Caenorhabditis elegans: one gene and its partners. The protein of the gene in region 3 interacts with the protein of the main gene of each other region in a biochemical or structural test. Each region holds a gene or a part of one and is shown on either strand. Other genes may lie near its edges. The genes, in order: unc-78, aipl-1 and unc-60.

The links.
Region 1: of the proteins of unc-60 (region 3) and unc-78, one has a biochemical effect on the other in vitro, tested with the Caenorhabditis elegans proteins (one study listed by BioGRID).
Region 2: of the proteins of unc-60 (region 3) and aipl-1, one has a biochemical effect on the other in vitro, tested with the Caenorhabditis elegans proteins (one study listed by BioGRID).

What each region holds. Positions count from the first base shown.
Region 1 is NC_003284.9:3,407,577-3,413,342, forward strand, and holds unc-78 (Actin-interacting protein 1), read right to left. Parts: upstream 4,040-5,766; 5' UTR 4,039-4,039; coding exon 3,966-4,038; intron 3,571-3,965; coding exon 3,092-3,570; intron 2,664-3,091; coding exon 2,171-2,663; intron 2,129-2,170; coding exon 1,632-2,128; exon of another isoform or gene 1,584-1,631; coding exon 1,397-1,583; intron 1,350-1,396; coding exon 1,243-1,349; 3' UTR 1,098-1,242; downstream 1-1,097. Other genes in the region: vit-5 (Vitellogenin-5), read left to right, coding at 1-208, 258-486, 532-667, 720-979; putative oxidoreductase dhs-27, read right to left, coding at 5,400-5,525, 5,572-5,733. UniProt on the Caenorhabditis elegans protein: Induces disassembly of actin filaments in conjunction with ADF/cofilin family proteins. Regulator of actin organization in myofibrils.
Region 2 is NC_003283.11:15,133,286-15,138,885, reverse strand, and holds aipl-1 (Anaphase-promoting complex subunit 4-like WD40 domain-containing protein), read left to right. Parts: upstream 1-2,084; 5' UTR 2,085-2,085; coding exon 2,086-2,158; intron 2,159-2,411; coding exon 2,412-2,890; intron 2,891-2,943; coding exon 2,944-3,430; intron 3,431-3,763; coding exon 3,764-4,420; intron 4,421-4,464; coding exon 4,465-4,571; 3' UTR 4,572-4,688; downstream 4,689-5,600. Other genes in the region: K08F9.1 (Major facilitator superfamily (MFS) profile domain-containing protein), read left to right, coding at 215-418, 472-667, 889-1,020, 1,070-1,230, 1,274-1,424, 1,536-1,613.
Region 3 is NC_003283.11:1,473,125-1,480,734, reverse strand, and holds unc-60 (Actin-depolymerizing factor 2), read right to left. Parts: upstream 5,650-7,610; 5' UTR 5,597-5,649; coding exon 5,594-5,596; intron 5,424-5,593; coding exon of another isoform or gene 5,328-5,423; intron 5,175-5,327; coding exon of another isoform or gene 4,948-5,174; intron 4,895-4,947; coding exon of another isoform or gene 4,795-4,894; intron 4,735-4,794; coding exon of another isoform or gene 4,663-4,734; exon of another isoform or gene 3,951-4,662; intron 3,854-3,950; coding exon 3,767-3,853; intron 3,397-3,766; coding exon 3,284-3,396; intron 2,785-3,283; coding exon 2,698-2,784; intron 1,533-2,697; coding exon 1,364-1,532; 3' UTR 1,159-1,363; downstream 1-1,158. Other genes in the region: F53E2.2 (Actin-depolymerizing factor 1, isoforms a/b), read right to left, coding at 4,663-4,734, 4,795-4,894, 4,948-5,174, 5,328-5,423, 5,594-5,596. UniProt on the Caenorhabditis elegans protein: Depolymerizes growing actin filaments in muscle cells; required for the assembly of actin filaments into the functional contractile myofilament lattice of muscle.

The DNA of each region.
Region 1 (5,766 bases), on a different chromosome or scaffold from region 3:
TCACCACCTGCTACTCTCTTGTTGCCAAGGATTGCTCTGAACAGCCAAGATTCGCTGTTCTTGCCAAGAAGATCAACAAGAACTCTGAGGAGCTTCTCGTTAAGGTTGTCCGCCGTGAGGAAGAAATTGTTGTGAAGAAGTCTGACGATAAGTTCCTTGTCAAGGTTGACGGAAAGAAGGTTAACCCAACTGAACTTGAACAATACAAGTAAGCTTTAACTCTAAATCACATGAATTTTTCTAATCTCGTTTTTCAGTATCGAAATTCTTGGAGATAACCTTATTGTTATTCGTCTTCCACAAGGAGAGGTTCGTTTCGATGGATACACTGTCAAGACCAACATGCCATCCGTTGCTTCACAAAACCAACTTTGCGGACTTTGCGGAAACAATGACGGTGAGAGAGACAATGAGTTCATGACCGCTGACAACTACGAAACTGAGGATGTTGAGGAATTCCACCGGTCTTACCTTCTCAAGAATGAGGTAATCAGATTTTTTCAATGAACTGAATGTAAATTTCATTTTCAGGAATGCGAAGTTGAGAACGACCGCATCTCCGAGAAGAAGAACTACAGAAACAAATGGAACAGAGAAGAGAAGAAGTCCGACTACGAGAGCAGCTCCGACTACGAGAGCAACTACGATGAGAAGGAAACTGAGAAGGGTTAGTCTAAGGCTGAATGATGTGTAGTTTTAACAAAATACATATTTTTCAGAACTCGTCAAGAAGACCCTCATCAAGGAGTTCTCCAACCGCGTCTGCTTCTCCATCGAGCCAGTCTCTGAGTGCCGCCGTGGACTCGAATCCGAGAAGACTTCCAACAAGAAGATCCGTTTCACTTGCATGCCACGCCACAGCAAGAACGCTCGTCGTTTCTTGAAGGAAGCTCGTGAGCAAACTGTTGCCGAGTTGGTCGATTTCCCAGTCTCCTTCGTTGAGTCTGTCAAGATCCCAACCGCCTGCGTTGCCTATTAGATTTCATATGTTTTATTAATTTTCTATTAAATAAAGCATTTTCACTAGAATGATTTTTTTTCTCATCACTTCTAGAAAACAAATACACATGTTGTAAGGATGTCAATCGAAACACAGCTTTGCACCAATAGTTTTTATTTACGCGTGTATTTAAGGCTTCGAAGGAGATGATAGTGCTTGCAGTAAACACGAAAATTAGTGATAATTATGAAAATCAATATAATTTTAAGGATACTTAGAGGGCAATCAAAAAGCTTCTCGACTTAAAAAGGTACATTCCAGAACTTGATATTCGAATCTTGTCCGGCCGACACAATTGTAGTTTCGTTGAGCCAAATTACCGAATTGACAGACGACATAGCATGAGCACCTATAAAAATGTTGTTAAATGTGTTAAATTAATAGAGAAATATTTACCTTTAATGATGATCGGATGATCAGATGGTTTGTTCATGTTCCATACAATAACGCTGTTATCCAAGGAACCGGTCGCCAAACGGACATTGTCCGGTGACCAGGAAACACATGCAACCTTGGCGGTATGGAAAGTCCAGGAGTTTGTGTGAGCTAGCTCGAAGTTGTTCGCAACAGAGTACGGGATAACCTGAATTTTGAAATCTATAATAGAAATGATTTTTTTTCAAAAACTAACCTTTCGTGATTGATCGGTTGCCACGAGGAAAGCTCCATTATTCGAAAATGCGACAGATGTGATTTCAGCAGGATGGACAATTGTTTTAACTTCAGAGACACTTGCTCCAGAGAGTTTGTACACATGGACCTTCGAGTCTTGTCCACCAACAGCAACAAATTGCTTATCGTTCGATAATGCCACACAGGAAGAATTGTAGCTAATTGGTACTTCCGTGAGCTTTCCATGAGAGTAAATTGCAATATGCTTATAGCAAGCAGCAACTGCAATATCTCCATCTGCGGAAACGGCGAGACCGAGAGGTTGCGAAGATAATTTGTTGGCAACAGCTTTGGAAGAATCGACTCCAGAACCTCCGGCAGGAACAACCTTCAGATGATCATCCCAACTGACGGTGAACAAATCACCCTTGCTGGTTGTCTTGATTCCGGTGATCATTGTGGCGTGAACATCCGGAAACACGCGGTTTGATATTCCTGTGGAAATATCCCAGGAGTCTGAAAACAAGTTTTAAATTTCGAAGCACTGAAACTACTCACTAATATGTCCTTCAGCATCAGCACTGAAAAGAGTTTTTCCATCAGCGCTGCTGCTAAGTGCAGTAATCGCCTTGTTGTGTCCGTATCTAACCTGATCGATACTTCCCAATTCTGGATTGACAAAATTGATAAATCCATTAGCAGAGATAGACACAAGAGCCTGCTTGGTCCAAATGATTCCAAGTTGTTGATCTTCAATTCTAGTTCCAACGGGAATAGTCTTTTCAACCTTTAATGTAGCCACATTCCAAATTTTAATGGTCTTATCAGCAGAAGCCGATGCGATTTTTGTACCATCCGGGCTCCAGGTAAGGCCAAACACAGATCCAGAATGAGCGACATTTTTCAAAGAGTCATCTTCAAAGACTCCGGTTTTTGTTCCATCAACTCCGTTGTATAACACAATGGTTCCATCTCCTCCAGTCGAGGCGAACAGAGAGCCATCAGGGTTGTAGCGCACAGAGTGGACGAATTTCGTATGTTCTCCGAAAGTCTGGAAAAATTGGAAAATAAATTTGAAACTGGTTTTTTGTCTGAAAACGTATTTGGAACACTCGAGTCATTTAAAACAAGTTTCCTTCTATCAAAATTAAATCTCTGTTAGAGTTGCACTGACAATAAGCTACTGAAAAGATGTTTGCATTCCGGTAGTATTAAAAATTCACGCATACGTTCAGGTTTTTTTCTACATTATTTGTTGATAGTTTCTGAAAAAAAAGTTCGCTCAGTGTTTTTTTTAATGTTTTATCAAATAAAAAGCATGAAACTTCAGCGAAAAGCTCACGCGAAATTATCTTTTTTGGAATTAAAAAATACAACTTAACACAAACCTAATAGAATAACATGTAGTATTTCGAAATACTTTAAGCGGAACCTTTGTGGAGAATTTTCAAAAACTAATCCAATATTACAATCACTTACACTTTTAAATTTGAATGGTGGTCCTTCAAAAATCGCCACTGTATTATCATCAGATCCAGAGATAATGCGGAATGGGCGTGATGGCTTGAAGTCGACGCTGTTCATAGCGCGAGCTTGTCCGGTAAGATTTCCATTAGACGTTCCAGTGTCAAACAAGAAAACATGACCGAAACGTTCTCTGCCTTCTCCAACGGCGGCAATTCTCTTACTTTCGCTATCCCACGAAATATCCTTCACTGGTCCAGAGAACACCGGAATAGTAGTTTTCAGAATGTGGGTGGTTTGAGTTGTGTCCCAGATACGAACATTTCCATGAACATCACCAGAAGCACAATAATAACCACTTGGGCTTGTCTTGGCGACAGTCGTTTGGTGAGAATGCTCAGTGTAGATTTCGGTGTCGGTTAGGCTTCCAACTGGTACAGTATAAACCGATGTTCCGTTACAATATTGAATCTTGTCTCCAGCGGGGGTGTTGCCTGGAAGTATTTTTGTAAAACGTGATTTAGCTTTCCTATTAACCGTTTCACTTTGCACTTTTTCTGTTGCCAAAGCGTCTCACTAATACTTAAATATTTCATCAATGATTTTTACTATTTTTCGCACAATTGACAAAAAAACTACAGTAACAACAAGCGCTACAGTAGTTTTTTAAAGGATCAATGTGGTTTTCGCTACGAAATACTTTAAATATGTTGCGCAATATGAATTTTCAGAATTTTCTACTTTTGCAAGTGAAGACTAATTATTTTAAAGAAACAATTTATCTGAAAATTAGTATTGCAGCCATATTAAAATATAATGCAGCCATACGGCTTCAATTTCTAGTATTAAATAGTAAAATCACCGTGCAATTAAAAATATAAAAACTCACCGAGAACTACGGCAGTTCCTCTAGCAGTGCGAGGCAAAGACGGGAACAATGCGGTTTGAGAGAATTCCGACATTCTGCAAAAATTGTAAAAATTGAGCAGGAATCCAAAAGATCGAAGGAAGAAAATCAATAAAATCAAACGAGAGCATTGAGAAGAAATAGTGACGACAGCGGGTGAGGAACTAATGAGGGTGCGGAAGGACAGCGGTCACTGGTCACTAACAAACAGTGCGCGCGGCCGAGATGGGGTTTCCTAGGCCGCAAAGATTGAACAACTGTTTTCTTTGCTTGAAATATATAAGTTTTTCGACGGAATTTTATAATTGAAATTTTCTTTTTTTTTTCTAAGAAAAAATTATTAATTTGGTCGATCTATTTTTGTTGATAACGAAGAACAATGCGATAGTTATTTGTGACGTGAAAAAAGTGAATAAGTGTTATTGTTGTGAGAAAGAGGAGGTCAATAGAAAACGGGGCCCGCCGGCTCGCCGGGTGGAAAGCATTCGACAGCAAGACGTGTTTTTCAATCTGCGACTCGGCGATTCCCATCATCACTCGACAATCGAGAAACGGAGGTTCACGCAAACAGAGGATCGGCTGTAAACTCCTCGTTGCTCATCGACCGCTTTTTTTATTATTAGCCGTCACTGGAAAAATCGATAAACCTGCGGGGGAAGCTTTGGGTGAAAAACACGTTTTTTTTTCTCGAACAACATGTCGAAACAAAACAAAATAAGAAGAAAATTGGTCGGGTTTTGCAATAACTTTTCGAATGAGAAATGAAACATTTTCTCGATGAGACAACTCACCAAGCACATGTGATTCATGTTGCATACACGTTAAGGAGGGGCTGACTAAGCGAACTATAGCCTTATCGCAACAAAAAACGATTTTTTTCCTCCCTTTTCTACTTTTCTCGTATGAATTTGTGCAAACTAGAATATGATTCCCCGTGAGTCACCGGAAGAGCTAAATTTTCAATATCAATATATTCATTAATATAAAAAAGACATGTTATTATTTAAGTCCAAAAGTATTTTTGAATAAAGAGTACTACAATCCAAACTACATACTAAAAGCTTATAAAAAATTGCTGACAACTTGGCTTCTCGAGATGTTTCAATAGGAATATTCGAAAAACAAGTAGATCATAAAAATTTGTATATTTAATTTTTTAAAACTGTTTTTCTTTCTCTAGAGCCAACATATTTGCAGGATTCAAGTGTGTGCAGCAATTCTGTGGAGTATGGCCAGTGGGAAAAATTTGAAATGTTTTTTCTGGCAAAAAAAGCTTCAATCGGTGATCAACTTTAAAAAAAAGATTCTAAAAAATTAAGTTCACACGAAAACTTTTTTATCTGAAAAATAGCATTCAATAAAAAAAAATCATGATAAAAATGAACGAAAATGGATAAACGTGAAATGATAAAAACTCTAATTATTCTTTCTCGAGTTCTTCGCTTGATAAGAGGCAACACGATGCTTATGAACTCCGAGCATAACAACAGGGACGAAAAGTACTTTGAAAAACCAAAAGGAGAACAATGTTCCAAGGGCAACCTGAAATTTTGCAATATTCAGACCACTAAGACACCATTGATTTTACCTGAACATCATGTTGCACACAGCCCGTTGTGATTTCCCAATTAGTCCCGATAATTCTGACAGCTTGTTTGGCAAAGTTTTCAGGGGTGACAACGAAGATATTGTTCGCTTCTTCAGCTTCATACGAGGCGACCTTGGTAGCAACGAGCATTGGAATGAGACACTGGAAAAATGAATAAACTTACACTTGAGTTTT
Region 2 (5,600 bases), about 14 Mb from region 3:
TAAGTTTTTTAATTCTTAAATGTAGACTGTAAGTTTGGGCAATGAAAAAGTAAATAGCGGCTGGCGGAGCAAATTGATGATTGCCCTACGTTAATTGAGATGTTCTAGAATAGGCATATTCGAAAATTTTTGGAACCGCAGATTGTAATTGCAAAATAAGTTTTGAGGTATTTGAATTAATCTCGATAATAACAATTAATTATATAACATTCAGGTGGGTTATTTATGCCACTGAAATTGGAATTATGCTAGTTTTTGGAGCTGCCCTCCCATTTTTCCCCGAATCACCTGGATACTTGATTCAAAAAGGATCATTGGAAAGCGCCACGATATCAATCAGTTTTTACTATAAATGTGAGAAAGAGGAAGCTGATAAACATGTTAAAGAAATCCAAAAAGAGCAGATGAACTCCACCAAGTGAGTTATTGGAATTGTGTAAGTAATTAGTAATTAGGAATTTTAAATTTCAGAAAATTCACAATGCTAGATGTAATCCAACAGAAATCACTTCGCGATAAAGCTTTCGTCGGTGCTGTTGTGACGTTTGTAATGTCTTTCAGTGGAGTTGCAGTTATCAGTGCTTTTGCTTTTGAGATTCTAGTAAATACTGGTTTGAACGTTTTGCAAGCATCACTGGCAAATGACGCAACCACGATTGTTAGTGTGGTAAGTAACAGACCCGAGTAGGCACAAAATAGGCAGGCAGATAGGCAGAAAAAAGGTAGTTAATTTAAAGAGTTATAAGCCGTCAAAGTAGAGCAGTTGGGTATAAGTCTAATAAAGAAAATATGATAAACATGGTAAGTTAGATTTTTTTTGCTCACAATGAATTTAACCGTTCTAATAAAACTTCTGTACAAAAAAAAATAATTTTTAATATTTCATAGATCTCATCAGTACTTGCCATTGCAATAATTGATAAAAACGGACGACGCCCACTACTTCTCATTTCACTTGCAGGAATTCTGATTTGCAACTTGATAATATTCGGATTAATGTTCACTTTTGATAAGTTTGGGGTATGAAATATAATTATACCATTACCCTCTAAATCCTACCAAATCTCAGAACCAAGTTCTCGGCTTCATTCTCATTTTCTTTATCTGCATTTTTCAATTTTTCTTCGCTCTAGGCCCGGGTCCATTAAGTTATTTTATCAATGCAGAACTTGTTGGTCAAGATGCTCGAAGTGCAGCACAAAGTTGGGCAAGCGTGGTACAAATGATCTCGTGAGTCGGTGGTGACATTAAATCTTCAAACAAAAGCTTTCAGACAATTTTCAATTATCACTGCATTCCTGCCCATGAAAAATCAACTCGGAGAAGCCTGGTCCTATTTGATTCTTTTTGTTGCTCCGGTGGCAGTATCTCTGGTTTTCCTGTATTTTTCACTTCCAGAGACCAAGAATAAAAGTCCAATTGAGGTGATTAAGAACGTGACGTATAATTTTAAAGAAACAAGGGTCTTGCAAAGATCGCGCTGAAACCCATTTTTTAATTATTTTTAATTAAGTATAAAAATTTCAAATTTCCAGGTGGAAGAAGCCATTGAGGAATTACCAAAGTTGCCATTATGCCGATCAACTCGTTCGAATTCAATCAAACCTATTTAATAGTTTCATGGTATTTATAATTTCCTATTTCATCGATGATCTTCTGCCTTAACATAAAATATGAATCATGATTGTTTTTCAACAGTTTTGCGTTTGGTCTTTAAACTCGCGATCCTCGTGGTCATTCCTCATATTCAATATTTAACATTGTTACTTTTTTTTTGTTTTAACGGCTTCAAATATGATATTTTTCTCAATCTTTTGTGATGATAACATTCTTAATTGTGGAAAATTAATGTTCATATACTTTTTGCCGAAAGTTCCTTTCTACTAAAAATTCACACCAGTGGTGACTACATTCAAACACGCTCTGTTGCTACGCGAGAGAGATTCGAGACGACAGAGAAACGGGCGCTAATGAAATATTTTCAATCTTTTTTCCATTAATTTTCCCATTTTTTTTCGATTTCACGCGACAATTGTTTAATTTTATTTAAAAATCCGAATTTTAATTCATTACTAATTTCTCAGAATGTCGGAATTCTCGCAAACCGCCGTATTTCCATCATTGCCACGGGCTGCCAGAGGAGTTCCTGTTATTCTGGGTGAGTAAGACGCGGGAATAGGGGTGGCGATAGGTCGCAACAGGGCGCCCTGGCTATTTCACAGCACCTTCACGAACAATCCAATCAGAATTTTGAAGATGAAAATTAAATTAGCATGGTTTACTTACTCGAATTTTCTTTCGAGGTCGAAACTTGATACATTAAGGTCGCTAGTAGGGGTGGCGTTAGGTCGCAACAAGGCACCCTATCGCCACCCCTACGCGGGAAAACGAAATAATTGTCTCATTTTCAGGTAGCTCTCCAGCCGGCGATAAAATCCTTTATTGCAATGGGAATTCGGTCTTCACAATTCCCATCGACAGCCTCAACTCTGCCGATATCTACACAGAGCATGCTCACCAGACAACAGTCGCCAAAATATCTCCGACAGGCTTCTATTGTGCTTCTGGCGATACTCAGGGAAATATTCGGATCTGGGATACTACTCAATCAACTCACATTCTTAAACATACCATCCCAGTTTTCTCTGGACCAGTAAAAGACATCGCATGGGACAGTGAGAGCAAAAGAATTGCGGCGGTCGGCGAAGGAAAGGAACGATTCGGGCACGTATTCCTTCTTGATACTACAACATCAAACGGAAGTTTGACAGGACAAAGTCGGACCATGAACAGTGTGGATTTTAAGCCAACGCGCCCGTTTCGTATCATTTCTGGATCAGATGATAATACCGTTGCTATCTTCGAAGGCCCTCCATTCAAGTTCAAGCATGTTAGTATTATATCGCCTGAATTAGTAAACTATATTTAAATCCTTTTTTTCAGACTTTTGACCACCACAAAAAGTTCGTTCAGTCTACCAGATACAACAATGATGGCTCGCTCTTTGCCTCAACGGGAAGCGATGGAACTGTCGTTTTGTACAATGGAGTTGACGGAGAAAAAGTCGGAGTTCTCGAAGATGCCAAGGGAGTCGCCCACACAGGAAGCATATTTGCTTTAGCCTGGTCTCCGGATCAATCAAGAATTGCTACAGCTTCAGCTGACAAGTCTGTGAAAATCTGGGATGTTTCTGCAAGAAAGCTGGAGAGAACTATTGTGATGGGATCGAAGATCGAGGATCAACAGCTTGGAATTGTCTGGACAAAGAGTGCGCTGATCACGGTATCTGTCAGTGGATTCCTGAATTTCTTGAATCCAGACGATGGAAGCGTCGAAAAAATTCGTCAGGGACATAATAAAGCGATTACAGCTCTTTCGAAGAGCTCTGATGGGAAATTCTTGTTCAGTGCCGATGCGGAAGGCCATATTAGTGAGTGAAGTTGGGATTACTTGACCGAGGTTTCACAATATGCTAAAATTAACGTGCCAATTTTAGCTGAAATAGTCAATTTTCCCTACCTTTCCGTGCTATAGCGGTCTGAATTAGATTTTATCGAAATATCCTTTCTTGCATAAACTACCAAAATATGCATGAAAATATTGTAATTAAATGAAAGCTAATTTCCGACAGCTGCGACACGAAAATGTTGGACAAATTGATGATTTTTGCTGAAATTAGCTTTTTTTTTCAATTCGAGCACATTTTGGGTCTATACGAGCAAAATACACACCTTAATGAATAACAAGTTTTTCTTTATTTCAGCTACCTGGGAAATTTCAAGCGGAACTTCTTCTCGAAAATCTCCACATACCACAATGATTACTGGTGCCCAGACGTCTTCCAATGGCGACTTATTCACTGTTGGTTGGGATGATCAATTGAAGATTACTGATGGATCCGGAGACACGAAAAGCTTCAAATTGCCGTCTCAACCATGTGGACTAGAAGTTTCTGATGACTTGGCAATTGTTGCATGTTACAAGCACGTCGTCGTTCTGTCACGGGGAACGCCAACGGAAAATCCAATTGAATTCCATTCGACTTGTGTGGCGTTTTGTGCGGAGAAAAGTCTGGTGGCCGTTGGTGGAAAAGATGCGAAGGTTCATGTGTACAAACTGAATGGAGATGGACGGCTCGAGGAGTTGAAGAAGATTGAGCACAGTGCGGAAATCACCGCTGTCTCATTTTCCGACGATGGGGAATATCTAGCGGTCACTGATTTGGCTCGAAAGGTGATTCCCTACTCTGTCTCCACGGATTTTTCCGTCACCTCTCCAAACTCGTGGACTTTCCATACTTCGAAAGTACTGACAGTCGCATGGTCCCCTGACAATCAACGTCTTGCCACTGGCTCCATCGACACCAGTGTCATTATCTGGGACATGAAGAAGCCAGGCGAACATCCGGTTATTATTAAAGGTAATATTGAAATTGTCTTGCTAGTATATGAATAACGTTTTCAGGAGCCCATCCAATGTCATCTGTGAATGTGGTCCGCTGGCTCGATGAGACTACGGTGGTGTCTGCTGGACAAGACTCGAACATCAAATTTTGGAATGTTCCACTCTAGTTTTCATGTTTATATGTTTAAAATTGCATAATTTATTTTTGATTACCTATTTTTCTGCCAAAAGATGCACGTGATTTAACAATTTTTATTTACAATTCGAATGAAATTTCAATGAAGGCTTTTGGAACAAAAAAAAAATTTAAAATAAAATAAGGGAATCTATAGAACTTACAATTAGTCATAAAAACAGTATAATTAATAGTTTTAACAACAGTATCAATCCGTGCAAACTACGTTCATATCAATTAGTATGAGAACTGTTTCCCAAATACATTGTTCTACATGTGGAGACCAATCTGATACGACCAATTGATAAGAGTTTTCCCACGGTGATAAGATAGTTTAAGTTGAGACATTATCCACCCAGAAAGTGAAAGATGACTCATTTGAAATGAGAAATGTGAGTGAATATATAAAAAATAACCTTCTCGAAATTGATGACCACTTTACCTTTTTCAAAAAATGAATCGAACGACTGTTATCACTTTTGGAATATATTCAAGAGATGATATTCCAGCTATTTTGAACGGAAATTTTCGAGATAATAACAGCAACATCGAAGATGATCGCAATAAGTTGATGAAAATCAACTTCCGAGCTCGCCACATTCCATATTTCTTCACTGGATTCCTAATTGGAATATTTTTCACTTTTCTGGCAACTTTTCATTGTAAATAGTGCAGCATTTGAATTATTGTTTCTAATTTATTACTATTCGGGTTCAATTTTATTCGCTTTCTGTTGAGTAACTTTATAGTTGAAATAAACATACGTAATCTATTTACATAGATTCTTTCAAATACCACAATTTCAAAATACAAACGGGTTCTTATCGCTTCGTGCTTTTTTATTAGATTCAATTTGTTTTCATAACGTGCATCAAATGTTATATTACGGGAACACAAAACTCTGAGACTACGTATTGCACAACATATTCGACGCTTAAAATATCTCGTAGCGAAAACTACAGTAATTGATTAAATGACTACTGTAGCATCAATTTACGGGCTCGACGAAATGAATAAAAAT
Region 3 (7,610 bases):
TTGTTTACTGAAGAGCCGAACGGATAGAGCACGTAACAACTATCTCTGAAAAAAAGTACAGTAGTTCTCGAAATTCATGGTCGTGGAATTACACGGCCAACCATTTTTCAATAGTTTTCTTTGATGAAATAGTCAGGAAGAAATTAGTGTTAGGCTTAGGCTTAGGCCTGGGCTTAGCCATAGGCTAGGTCTTAGGCATAGGTTTAGACTTGGGCTTCTGCTTAAGCATAGGCTTATACTTAGGCTTAGGCTTAGGCTTAGGCTTAGGCATAGGCTCAAGCTTAGGCTTAGGCTTAGAATTAGGCTTAGGCTTAGGCTCAGGCTTAGGCTTTGGCTGGAGGATGACAAGAGAAAAAAGTAAACCCACAAAATGGCAAAAAAAAACCTTGAAATCTACTCAGAAAAAACATCAGATTTATGTGTTCTTCTTAGAAAAAATGATGCAGAAAAACCGCATCTGGAGAACATTTATTTGAAAAGGATTCCCATTATTTTTTGCGAAAAAAAACGAATCTAAAAACAACGGGAAACAAATGGAACGCGATGTTTTTTTCCGTTTTCAGAACACTACGAAAACTGATTTTTGAACAAAACTAAGCCAACTCACGGATTTCTGGCTTCCCTAATAAATTGAAATGGAAGAATTTGCCGAACTAGGCCATTTTGGCTCGGCCATATCTGGGGTAGATTTACGGCGCGTTGCGTGTCGCGTCGTGAGAAATTTTACTTCTAAATGCATTTGTCCGTGTGGAGTACACGACTTTCCCCAGGCGTTGTTTGGCTGGCGATTGTCAATGGAGCGCGAAAAATTCAATGAGGAAGGCCAGAACCCCGTGGGCCAACTCTGTTGGATTTCGAAAAAAAATCGATTTTTAAAAATTATCCAAAGAAAAGAATGTTTCGTGCTGTTCGTTTCAAGTTTCGAAACAAACAAACAAAATTCGAAGAAAAGTAGCATAACTTGTGCTCCTGCTTGTGCTCCGAGAGCCGGTGAGCACAAGTCGAGTGGCATCAGGTCAAAAGTAAAGAGATGCTCTCGGGGGGTGTGTTGTGCTCTATAACATCTGAGGGCTCTTGGGGGCTCTGGAAAAAATGGGTAATTGATTTTATTGTTTTTTGTCGTCTGGACGTCATGGAAAACAACAACTGACATGTTCTGAAGGAACGGATTTATTTATTAAAAGAAAAATATTTTTTTAAAAATTCCAGAGAAAATGGGAAATCAGAATTACAGACAAGAAAAGTCATAATTTAACAAGAAAAAAAAAGTTAAAGGCACATTTTTGACGGGCTTGGATGGTCCGAGAGACTAGTAGTACCAGAAAGAAATTGTAATTTGTGATTGGGATTCAATTGGACAGGCTTAGATTCTTTGGTTGGACATCAGGTCGCTCTTCACGCTCTTCTCGTCGAGGTCCGACATCTCGGAGGCCTGTACTTGGAAGAGGGACTCGAGTCCGAGGGACGCCTTGAGAGCACGGACCGAGGAGGCGTAGAGCATACGTCTGCGGACTGGGGCGTTGTCTGGGCAGCTGAAAATAGGAGTTTGGGAAGTGGAATGTGGAAATACATGGAAATTTTTTTAAAGAGATTCTTGTTAATGGCCGACATTTTGGTGGCCGAGTTTTTCTAGTTGATGGCCGAGGTTTCCTAGTTGATGGCCGAGGTTTTCTAGTTGATGACCGAGGTTTTCTAGTTGATGGCCGACATTTTGATGGTCGAGTTTTTCTAGTTGATGGCCGACTTTTTGGTGGCCGAGTTTTCCTAGTTGATAGCCGAGGTTTTTTAGTTGGTGGCCGACTTTTTGGTGGCCGACTTTTTCTAGTTAATGGCCGACTTTTTGATGGCCGAGGTTTTCTAGTTGATGGTCGAGTTTTCTAGTTGATGGCCGTGTTTTCCTAGTTGATGGGCGACTTTTTGGTGGCCGAGGATTTCTAGTTGATGGCCCACTTTTTCTTGTTGATGGCCGATTTTTTGGTGGCCGAGTTTTCCTAGTTGATAGCCGAGTTTTTCTAGTTGCTGGTCGAGTATTTCTAGTTGATGGCCGAGTTTTCCTAGTTGATGGCCGAGTTTCTCTAGTTTATGACCGACTTTTCCTTGTTGATGGCCGACTTTTTGATGGCCCAGGTTTTCTAGTTGATGGCCGAGTTTTCTAGTTGATGGCCGAGGTTTCCTAGTTGATGGCCGGTTTTTTGGTGGCCGAATTTTTCTAGTTTATGGCCGACTTTTTGGTGGCCGAGGCTTCCTAGTTGATGGCCGACTTTTCCAACGAGAATTTCAGTAAATTCGTTCATTTTTATCAACTTTCTTGGTTTTTTGTTTGGACGATTTTCTAGATTTTCCAGACGCGAAATTTTACGCTATCTGGTCTCGACACGACAAATTTTTGTTAAATTCAAACAGGTATGCGCCTTTAAAGAGTACAGTAATTTAAAACATTCGTTGCTGCGAAATTATAGTGTTACCGTTTTTTTAACGCAAAAATGCGGACAATTTCGAGCATTCCGGCTTGATCTACGTAGATCTACAAAAAAAGCCGGAGTAGAGACGCAGAGTTCTCAACTGATTTCTCATGGTTAAGAACGTGCTGACGTCAAATTTTCTTTGGGAAAAAAATCGCGCATTTTTTCTAGATCAAACCGCAATGGGACAGCCTGGCACCACGTGTATGTGTAATATTTCAATGTTGAAACTCACTATTGAACGAAGATGACCTTATTGAGTGTGCTGGTTCCCTCGGCTCCCTGTCTTTGGACAGTAACCTCGACGTCGACGGCAGCATATCTGCAAAAAAGGATGAATTGAATCGAGATTTCCGACGAGTTTTGTTGTTTGATAATTATCCAGACAAGAAATTTTGCGGTTTTTTTGCACCAACTGGTCTCGACACGAAACTTTTTTGTTAAATTCAAAATCATATGTGCCTTTAAAGAGTAATGTAGTTTCAAAATTCCATTGCTGCCAAATTTTCATTAATGTTTCACAGTTTCTTAATATTTATGTGAATTTTTTTCGATAATAAAACATTCCATGGAAACAATAATTTTGAAATTACAGTACTATTTAAAGACGCACACCTTCTTTTCTCTGCATTCATTTAACTAGTAAAAATTAGTCGTGTCGAGACCTAGCACCGTATTTTGGCGCAAAAACACAACTTTTCGCGTAGAATACACGCGACATTTAGGCTCAGACTAAGACTTAGTGTTAGGCTTAGGCTTATTCTTAGGCTTAGGCTTATGCTCAGGTTTAGGCTCAGGCCTAGTCTCAGGCTTAGGCTTACCTGCACTCCTTTCCGTCCTCAACAAGCTTCTTCATCTCCTCAACGAACTCGGCGTACGGAGCATTCTTCTCTCCGACCTTCTCGACGACGATGGCGGTGTCATTTTTGTCAATCTGATTATTTTTTGATTTATTTTTTTTCGATTTATTTATTTTTTAAATTTTTAAAAAATCAAATTTAGAAAATTATTTAATTATTACGGGAACAGAAAACTCTGAAAATGCGTACTGCACAACATATTTGACGCGCAAAATACATCAAATATCTCGTAGCGAAAACTGCAGTAATCCTTTAAATGACTACTGTAGCGCTAGTGTCGATTCACGGAAACCATTTATAAAGAAAATTGCAATAATTGAGCCCGTAAATCGACACAAGAGCTACAGTACTCATTTAAAGAATTACTGTAGTTTTCGCTACGAGATATTTTGCGCGTCAAATGTGTTGTGCAGTACGCATTTTTTTTTTCGCAGAATAACTCACCTTGAAGATGATGTAGCTGTGCTGATGCTTGTTGTGGAGAAGATCGTAGGCGTTCTTGCAGGATGGATCAACTTTGACTCCGGAAGCCTGTACTCAAAGGTGTTTGTAATATTTTTCTGGTTTTTATGTCAATTTTTGTTTCCTTTCAAAATTTTCCACGCGTGTTAAAACAATTGTTAGAAACTCCAAACTTGATTTCATTGTGATAATCTTAAAAAGCACAGCACATGAACGGTTTGGTGGGTGATTCTTCAAGGGGATCGGGCAGGGTGGGAAAAAAGTAAGAAGGGAAATGAATACGCAATAGAAGATTTGAAAAAAAAAGAATGGTGAGGAGATGGAGATTGAGAGTTCCAGTGGGGGAAAGTACACTATATAAATATAGAAAGCTTTACAAGAGAGAGAGAATATAATCGTAAATGAGAAGGGATTTACCACGCATTTCACTAAACAATAAAGATACTGAGAATCTGAGGGGATGTCTCAACTTCTTCATAGTACGGAAGGTTACCCGGCACATTGTATTAAATTAGTGGGCACACACAATCACTTGCCCCCAGGAAAAAAACAATCGTCAATCAGGAAAAAAACAGATAAAAATAGAGGATAAATTAGCAATGTTAAGAGGTGAAAATGTGAAGAAGACGCTTAAGAAACATCATCGAAACACATCGCCGCAGTCATGTTTTCAACGGATGATTCTTTGAGGACACCAAAAAAAATGAACAAGTAGTGAGGTTGGTAAGAAAAAAGCACCACAACAACGCACTAGCACATTCAAAGAGCACACGTGAAAACGATCAGAAATCATCAAGCAATGGAGAAAATGCGACAGACAGAGACGAGAATAATCGAGGATGTGACGGCGACGACGACTTCGGAAGAGACCCGTGTATCTAGTGATCTCCGTATTTCTCGCCCAACTTGTTGAGGAGTTCCTTGTGGCTCATCTCGCTCTCGTCAGACACCTGAAATTTTAATAATTTGATTTTTTTTTTCTAATTGTAAAAATTATCGAGATTTCTCACCTGGAACTGAAGGATTTTGCCGGTTCCGAGAGAAGTCTTGATGGCGGCGGCGGACGAAGCGTACACCATCTTTTTCTTGATAGAAGCACCATCTGGGCAGCTGGAAAAAAAATTAGATGGTACAATAATTCACCAATAGGATCAAGCGCTTACATCTGGAGGAAGATGATCTTGTCCATCTTGCTCGTGCCGGCTCCAACACGACTGCACGTGAACTTGAAGTCGAAAACGGCGTAGCGGCAATCGGTCAGATTATCGGTTCGAGACTTCACGTCCTCGACGAATTTGTCGAAAGCGGCCTTGGAAGAGTCATCATAGTCGTCTCCAGTGATGCCGAGCTGATCCTGAGTCACCGCGGCTTCCACGATCACCTTGTTCTCCTGGAAAATGTTGCAATTTAATAGGGAAATCAATAATGTTCATCTAAAACAATTAATTTGAGGATTTTTCAAATTTTTCAACAAAAAAAACAAAAAGTGGCACGAAATTTTTTTAAATTGATCTGATTCAGATTTTATTTTTTAAAAACTCACGTCGATCTTGAAAATGATGTAGCGGTACTCCTTGCGTCCCTCGGAGAGCTTTTGGAAAGATGTCTGCACATCTGGGTCGACCATGACACCGGAACTCTAGAAAACAGGCACACATAGGTTAGGTTAGGTTAGGCAAAAAGAAGAGAAAACCATTCCATTTTAGTGTGAAATTTTGGAAATTCAATGAAAAAAAAACACGCCAAACATAACATTCCAAATTTCTTTCAATTTAAAAATATTGAAGCGAATTAAAATCTCAAACTCACCATTTTGAGATGTTGTTGTTGGTTTGTGGTGGGGAAATAGAATCAAGTTGAGTTTCCTGCAAGAAAAAATGATTTTAATCAATCAATAATCGAATCACGAGAAGGGAAAAACGATAGTGAAGAAGCTCAACACAAAGAAAAAGTGTAACCCAGATAAGAGTCATAAGGGTCATAAGTGTGAGGTAAATTGGTAAAGTGATGGAAACAGAGAGAGAGAGAGAACAAGAGCCAAGAAAGTCCATTGTGATTGGCACAGAAGCAGGATGAGAAAGACGCAAAAAAAAAGAGACGGGGCCGTCCCTTCGGCCTAACCCCCAGCCCCAACAACACAACCGCCAGTCAGAGTGCTTGCCTGTGCGAGCGCGTCCGCTTAGATAGACGAGGACGAGGGACACGAGGAAAATGAAGAGACGAAGAGATAGAGCGAGATAGTGACAAGTAGAGGAGAGGGAGCGGAGAGAAAATGAAACGGGCAGCAACAGCAGCAGCAGCACCCAGCCCGAATGGTCATCTTTTCCGTCCCCTCCCGGAGAGAGAGAGTGAACGATCTGAAGAGCTGGTAGAGAAGAGAGTGAAGAGAGAAAATAGCGAGAACCGAGCAAACATTCGCCATGTGCAACACACACACCATTGTCCCCCGACCTTACTTGCTCTGCCCGAAATACCAAAAAAAAACAGATACGGACTACCTAGTGGTGAATCCGTTTGCACTTTCTCCCGGGCTTCAGTTTCTAGAAAGTACTGACAAAATTAGAAAAAAGTAGGAATGCACTGCTATTGATCGTATGAATCATCATTCAGCATCGAGGAGTACGTTATATACACTATGGTATCAACTGGGAAGGAGAAAGATTAGAAAACCACCCGTTTTTGTGTTGTACACAACAACGAGGAGGACGACGACGGTGTATGAGTCAGCGCATGGCGGTACGAGAATGACGGAGAGGGTTTGGAACAATTTTTGAATTGTTTCCAGACGTTAAAAATATTGAAAACAACATCGATTTCGGCTTTGAACAAGGGGCAAACGAAAAGGACATACCCGGAGGAGGACACACACACAGTGGAAACAATAGTTGATGAGAGTAATTAGCGAAAGGAACTCGGTGCTACGAGACAGTCGAAGCGTATAATCTCCACTTAGCGTACGCGCAGACAACTACACCGCCCATCTACTACCCCCCCCCCCCCCCCCGACATATTCTCTACTTTCGGGTTATTTCAACATCGGGTGAAAGTTCAGTGAGAAAAAAAACATATCATTTTCCTTGAATTCAAGTCGGAATGAGCATTATTAGCATAGAAGTGTTCAGATGGTTTGCGTGGGCGTAGAGAAAGGGCAAATTGACTGTGAGGGAGCCACCAATTGATCGAGGAACGAACAAAAACGCCAACGACGTGGGAGGAGTCAAAGTCATTAGCAATTGCGAAACAATAAGACACGCTCATTTCAGAAATAAAAAAATGAATTAGTCATCTTGAGAATTATTTTTAGAATCTTTTCTAGTCGCTCAGTATAATAATTTGACAGTGTATTTCAAGACAGTGTTTTTCGTATGCAAAAATATTAAATAGTCCAAGAAAACTCGGACGATTTAATTTAAAAGGGGAGTAGAGTTTGTAGTATTTTGCTTAAATAGACAAAAACTGGTCCAAAATCACCGAATTTCATAATGAGACTTCACAAAAAATTTCCAAAAATTTTTCATGGCCGGCCAAAATTCGAAAAAATGGCCAACTATTGCTAAAATCTGAAATTTCGCACACTTTTCTTTGTCACAGCCGCTGGATTTTAGTTTTTCTGAGATTATCACCCTTTAATCCTTATTTTGGTAATTTATCTCGCGGAAATTCGTTGATTGAGACACTTTTTGAGCCGATGGGCATCCAAAAATGATAAAAATTGTATGCCTATCGGCCTAAAAGTTGTCTCAATCAACGAATTTCCGCGAGATAAATTACCAAATTAAGGATCAAAGGGTGATAATTTCCGAAAAACTAAAATCCAGCGGCTGTG